Linked DNA regions of Oryzias latipes. The protein of the gene in region 2 interacts with the protein of the main gene of each other region in a pairwise test. Links are inferred from orthologs where the notes say so. Each region holds a gene or a part of one and is shown on either strand. Other genes may lie near its edges.

Region 1 (3,950 bases), on a different chromosome or scaffold from region 2:
AGGTGTTCAGAGACAAACTGTCTGCACAGATCCAGGTGAATGCAGCCAAACTGATTGGCCGGCGTTTCATAATCCAGATGGACAACGACCCAAAACATACAGCCAAAGCAACTCAGGAGTTTATTAAAGCAAAGAAGTGGAATATTCTTGAATGGCCAAGTCAGTCACCTGATCTTAACCCAATTAAGCAGCATTTCACTTGTTGAAGACTAAACTTCAGACAGAAAGGCCCAAAAACAAACAGCAACTGAAAGCCGCTGCAGTAAAGGCCTGGCAGAGCATTCAGAAGGAGAAAACCAGCATCTGGTGATGTCCATGAGTTCAAGACTTCAGGCTGTCATTGCCAACAAAGGCTTTTCAACCAAATATTAGGAATGACCATTTGGTTTTCAGTTATTTCATTTGTCTAATTACTTACAAGCTAATGAAATTAAGGGATTGTGTTTAGAAAATGCTTTAGTTTTTCACATTTTTATACAATCTTTTTGTTCAACCCATGGAATAAAAGCTGAGAGTCTGCACTTCAATGGCATCTGAGTTGTTTTATTTAAAATTCACTGTGGTAATGCCAAGAAACTAAATTAGAAAGAATGTGTCTCTGTCCAAATATTTATGGTCTTGACTGTGTCTCTTAAATCTGGTTGTGTGATAATTCTAAAAATGTTTGTTTGTAAATAGATTAAATAGTTAGATTTCATTTTGATTGCACCAGTAGCACCGCCCCTTTTTTCATCATTATATTTTCTAATTAAAACAGAATTCCTTAACAGCAGAATGCTAAAAGAAGTGGTTGATTGTTACAGATGGGAGAGGCGGAGCTGCGGTCGCTGCGGTGCAGCATTAGAAAGCTTTCAGCCAGGTTCTCATGTCCAATTATGGACACCAATACAGAGTGTGAAACTGGAACAATCAATCAATCAATCAATCACATTGGGCAGCGCGGACTGCCCTCTGGTAACGGGCCAGGCTCAACTGATCAGCTGGTTCTTAACACACACACACACACACAAAGTGTGAGTTCAGAGGTGATGGTGCTTTTGCTGCAGCAGCCCCCAAACTTTGCAGCCCCCCCATGTCAGACTGTTTGTTGAAGTCTTACTTTCAAGCCCACGGTTTAAAAGCAGCTCTTAATACCACAGAAATGTTTACTCATCTTATCCAACTTGATTTTGTGAGATTGTGGAGATGATTCAATTTAATTCAATTATACTTTATTGATCCCAAAAGGGGAACATTGAAGAGCTTTATAAATGAAGGTAGACTGGAGTTTTTTCTAAATGTATTTAAAGCTTTCCTTTTTAGAAGACTCCAAACCTACAGGTTCAGCTGAGCTCCAACTGTGATTAGCGACTCCTCTCCGCAGCACTGTGGTGTTCTGCACAGGCCTTCTTCAGGGACAGCCTCCTTTTGGGCTTCAGCCAGCATCCCCTGCCAAGCTGCTGGTAAAATAGGCCTCGGTGCTCGGCACCAGCACCGCCTCACAAGCACACAGAGACGGTGCTGGCCCGGAAGAGCGGCCCTCAGCGCCTTTAATCTCCTGCTGCACAGAGGAACACTGGAGTGCTTTGCAGGCCCCCGTGTGTGCGTGGCGGGTGTTTGAAGGCCAGAAACCCTGCAGTGTGTTTGTGTGTGTGTGTGTGTGGGGGGGGGGTTCAGGAAAGCCATCCTGCTTCACGTCAGAGCGGATCTCTCCTCTGTCAGATGGACTAAGTTCACAAACGGTTTCAATGGGCAAAGCTTCTAGTCCTTCCCCATGAGTGCACACACACACACACACACACACACACACACATGCACACAGCACAACAGGGGTGAATAGAAAGAGTCTTCCGGCGCCCCTGCCCCTTGATTGGTTTTCCTCCTCTCACAACTGTCTTTTTTCTGTGGCTGTGGAATCGCTCCTGTTTTGTTCCTCCAGGTTTTCTCATCAGGGAGCCTCGATTTCAGGTGTTCCTGCTGTCGTGTGCTGGCTGGACAGATGGGGACCCCTCCCTGGCATTAGGGCTCTTCCCTGGATAACCCCGGCTGCACTCTGATGGCTCGCCACGTTTCCACGTGCAGCTGCAGCATCTCCTCTGACTGCGTTAACGTGTTCGTCTGTCTGCGCAGGTCCACAACGTGTCCTTCTCCTTTGAGCTGATGCAAGACGGCGGTCTGGAGCGGCCCAAGCCCCGCCCCGAGGGTACGCCGCATGTTTACATCACTTTGGCTCTCTTGTAGCTTCACTTGTAGCCTTATATTTAGTGCCTGGATTGAATACTTTCTGTTTTTCTGTTGTTCAGTCGTTTTATTGTCCTCACCTATGAAAGCCTTGATGCAGCAAGTTATCGTCGTTTCAACAGGATTTTACAAAATAAGAGCATGAATGGCGGTCTAGCGGGTCCTGGCCTTAGTCTGACAGCTTAAGACGGATAAATGTACACAATGAATCATGTTTGGAGCTCAATCTGTGGGGTGGAGGGGTTATAAATGTATGGATTCCACAGATTTATCAGGTTTTACAGCAGTTCTTCACGTGCTTTGATTAAAAAAAAAAAGAATTTAAAGCTTTATGCTTGTTTAAATGAATGATTTTCAATTTCAGGAAATTAAAAGTTAAACCTGGAGAGCGCAAGAACAGTTTTTCTTTTGGGCTTTTAAAGTAAATTTGACCTTTTTTTGTCAATTTGTTTTGGGTAGCAGCAATTAGGAGCTACCAAAAATACATATATACATAAATACAAACATTTAACACAATAGAGGTAAATAAATGAAATTTAAAAACAGATTTGAGCCAGTGGGTTCTCCAGGGTCATTAAACAGCAAAATGGCGCACTAAACGATAATGACATGTATTCGTCTGGTTTCTCAGTGTTTCTTTCATGAAGCCTTTTTTAAATGGATGCTGGTGTTTCTGCAGACATCGTGAACTGTGACCTGAAGTCTACGCTGCGCGTCCTCTACAACCTCTTCTCCAGGTACAGGAACGTGGACTGAGCTCTCTGTGGCTGCAGCTTCACCTGAACACACGCCACTTTCTGCACGCATGAAGGCCTGCAGCTTTTCTGCTGCAGAGCTCTTCCACTCACCATCATGTATTTATTTGAGATTCGGAAACTGTTCCGTCTTTCTTAAGTGCCTTTTTGAGCTCAACCTCCTGGATGCTGCGATGGATGAGCTCCTTTCTTTTTTCTTTTTGCTGTAATGCTACAGAAGAAAACATGGAAGCCAAGTCTTTTTCTGTATGTAGATGTTTAGTTGTAGCTGAACTTGCATAAAAGCGTTGCAGATGTGGGACCAGCTCAGTCTGACTGAATCTAACTGCGTTTTTGCTTTCCCTCCTTTGTTTGGAGCATCAAACAGGCTTTATGTTCAGATGCGTTACATGTAATAAACAGTTCTTTGGCTGAACGCTGAACAATTTCTCCTTATTATTTCTGACCTCTCAAAGCCAGCCAAGAGGAATGCTTCTCCAACAAAAGAAAAACTGGGGTCAGAGTGGTTCCAATTTTGTTGGCGCAGAAAGACAAGTGAGCCTCCACAACAATTTTCTTTTCACTAAATTGATGGTTTGTTAGAAAAGCAGCGCGAAAGCTCTGTGAATGGAAGGTGACCCCGGAGTGGCTCCAGGAAGATGGCACACTGGCTGAATGTGTGAAATGCTTCATTCTCCTTACATTCCACAGTAACCTTTGTGGGGGGTATTATTGATAATGTTGCAGTGCTGCAGAGGCATTTGGATGGACATGTTTGTGATTCTTCTCTGCTTTTCAATTACTTTTAGTGTCCTATGCCCCCAAAACAGGAGAATTAAGGGTTAAAGTCAGTTTTGTGTTGAGGATAAACCCTGAGGTGAATTTACACGACTCACAGTAAGTTGGGGCTATAGTGAAAAACTTAGTGGATGTTGTAGACAGCGTCTGTTGATGATTGGGTTCGATTGAACCGATTCGGTAGGCTGCTGGGACAAA
Region 2 (2,909 bases):
GCCCCGTGACCTCGGAAGGGACAAACGGGTTTGGACGATGGATGAATGACTCAGACTGTTTGATCTTTAACCTCTGTGACCTTTCCCAGCTAACGACCATCCAGAGTCTTTTGTTCTGAAAGAGCCGCTCCGTCATGCTGACGGATCTTCCTCCAAATGTTTCTCAGACATTAAATGTGGTCAAATCCAAACTGTTGCTGGTTCTTTAAAAACATGTTTGTAAGGCTTTTTTAACTTGGTTCTTTGCTATTCCAACAGGTTTGGTGCAGAATGCTTTGATGAAAGGTCGGTTTAAGGTCGTCTTGTCGGACAAAGTTCTTTTTTTCTGTGGATGGAGACGACTGCGTTGCATCAGTTCAGATATCTCTTTCTGTGCTTCAGACTCTGAAAACAGACTTACCTCATCTAAACTTTGGGATACAGACCAGCCTCAGTTGAAAGGTGTGCTCGGCAGGGAGGATCTTATAAATCTCAGTGTTGAACTGCATGATGGGAAATGTAGGATCCCGCTTTCTGTGAGCTCTAATTAACTACATTAAAGATCTGTCTGCATCTGCTCTAAAGATGTCCACCCTTCCTAAACCACTTCCATTCCAAACTATAAAGGTCCAGACTTTAAATCTGTGTGTGACTTGTGTTCCAGCCTTGTTACATTTCTTCTGTCCTTCATTTCCCACAATGCTCTGCATCCATCATTTGGTGTAATCCTTCCTTACTGGTGAAGGGCCGGGTCTTTCATCACTTGTAATCCAGGCTTTCTTTTAAATACATGTCTTCCCCCTGAGCGTGAGATCCTCCTGGTTCTGTGATCCGGGCCGGCTCTCTGGTGGGACGCCGCTCCCTGCAGAGCCTTCACAGGCCCTGGTGGGAAACCCTTTCATCTGTGAACAGCAGCATCGCTGTAGGAGGAGGTTCAGCCTCCGCGTGTGAACGCTTTCCATGTCTTTCAGGAAGTAACTGAAATTATTCTGTCCAACAGCAGTTCTCATATTTGTGTTTGGAGCTTTTGTGGCGTGATGACTCATGGCTTCAGTCTTCAGTCAGTCCGAGCTGCTCCATGTACAGATGTTGTCCTCACAGCCAACAAATGAAGTCTTTCCTTTCCAGCTGCCCCCTCCCCGTCCCTCTCTCTGGTGAATGAAGCCCAGTATCTCATGATCAACCTCGCCAGCGTGAAGCTCATTCAGAGTCTAATGAGCAGCAGGTCTGAACACATTTGCATCGCTCCAGGATGCATTTACATGATAGAGGCTGGTCTCTGCAGCTCAGTGGAACAACGTCTCCTCATTTCCTTCTGTCACAGGCAGGGCGGCGGCGAGGACCAGGAGCTCCTCGTCTCTCAGAAAGTCATCAGGCGCTTCCGAGCCAATTTAGTCATCACTGGAGGAGAAGCATTCGATGAGGATAATTGGTCACACTTGATCATTGGCAGCACCCGCTTCGTGGTGAGCTGACACTCTGACTTGAATGTGACATCTTCAAACGCATTCAAAGCCAGTCAAGTGGATCATTGCCAAAGCCTGTGCCCTGTGTGATAAACCGTAAGGTCGCGGGTCAGTGTGGAAGATGCCAGATGGTGGGAATAGACCAGGACACCGGAGCCAAATGTAAAGAGCCGCTCGTGTCCCTGTCTGCCCTCCGCGGCGGGAAGGTGGGTCAGAAACATTCGCCGCTCCTCAGTTATCTGTGTGTGACGCAGGAACAGAAAAACCAAAGATGATGGAGATGTTTCCACCTTTAGGTGACGTTTGGCGTGTATCTGACTCATGAGACTGCAGACGGCTCTGCAGCAGGACACGCTCTCTCTGTTGGTTCTGTTATCCAGCCGGAACCACACGGGCCTTGAAGGGTCACCTCTTTGTTTTTTCTCATCGCTGTTAATCCTCCCATCTTTTTAACGTTTTTAAAATGAAAAACATCAAAGATTTGGAATTCAGCTCTTAGATGGAATCACCTGAAATCTTAGCTACAAAGGAAATGTTATTTCAACAGCTGCCCATTTAACTCATCAACCTTCTTTACCAGCCAAAGACAGAAATGAATGTTCAACATATGCCGATGATCTACTGTTGAGAGGAGAAGAGCGCCGATCTGTTAGGAACGCAGCATCAGTGGAGGTACTTTTCTCTCTGTGTCCCCAGAGAATCACGGAAAGAACCGTTGCATCCTCTAAAGATGAAGTCGCCACATTGCCTTCCCTCTAACACCTTTACAACACCATGAACTGTAAAGGCAATGATTGTAATGATGCACTGAAAGCCATCAATAGGAAGAGAATGAAAATAAAAGGCACATCAACACTTCAGCTTTGGTTCATTTATTAATGCTGAAAAATAAAAACCAAAGTCCAGATGACCTTTTAACCTCTTTCTGGGATGAACCGTCGGGATGAGTGAGAGTCTTCAGGCAGAAATCTCACCAAGCCGTTTCTGAAGCCGGTTTATTGTCTTTAGAAAGTCTTTGAAAGCAAGAAGAGGTAAGAAGAAACATTCATCCAAATTAATGGAGTGTGAAACGTTCAAGTAAATAGCGTTCAGTTATGGAGCAATCTTTGCAGAAACCATGAAGCTCCAATCATGTTCAGGGAATTTGATTTCCTGGTGACATTGCTGAAGTACTCTGAAGAAAAATGTGTGAAAACATCTGCAACAGTAGAAAGTAGAAAATACTTTGTACTTTCAGTTTAGTTCCTGTTTACGTTTTGGCTTTTATTATTCGATATTAAATCTAAGACTTAGAGTTTTCTGTATGTCTTGGTGTTCATAACGGAATACTACAAAGATTTGATTCTGTTTCCAAAGTAAAGGAAGAACCAAAACCTCTGTGGCAGGTCTGCAACCTGAGGCCCCGGAGCCACTTTAGCCTCTTTTACCCTCTGTAGGGGCTCTCTGGCTGAAGAGAAATAAAAT

What was found.
Region 1: the proteins of mocos (region 2) and alpha-parvin interact in binary tests that used the Homo sapiens proteins (3 or more experiments, as listed by UniProt). The two-hybrid records come from large-scale screens. The link is inferred for Oryzias latipes from reciprocal best matches to the Homo sapiens genes MOCOS and PARVA.

The regions. Positions count from the first base shown.
Region 1 is NC_019864.2:719,046-722,995, forward strand, and holds the end of alpha-parvin, read left to right. Parts: intron 1-2,109; coding exon 2,110-2,182; intron 2,183-2,899; coding exon 2,900-2,976; 3' UTR 2,977-3,397; downstream 3,398-3,950. UniProt on the Homo sapiens protein: Plays a role in sarcomere organization and in smooth muscle cell contraction. Required for normal development of the embryonic cardiovascular system, and for normal septation of the heart outflow tract.
Region 2 is NC_019873.2:30,323,811-30,326,719, reverse strand, and holds the end of mocos (molybdenum cofactor sulfurase), read left to right. Parts: intron 1-258; coding exon 259-441; intron 442-1,107; coding exon 1,108-1,204; intron 1,205-1,303; coding exon 1,304-1,445; intron 1,446-1,546; coding exon 1,547-1,651; intron 1,652-1,741; coding exon 1,742-1,846; 3' UTR 1,847-2,305; downstream 2,306-2,909. UniProt on the Homo sapiens protein: Sulfurates the molybdenum cofactor. Sulfation of molybdenum is essential for xanthine dehydrogenase (XDH) and aldehyde oxidase (ADO) enzymes in which molybdenum cofactor is liganded by 1 oxygen and 1 sulfur atom in active form.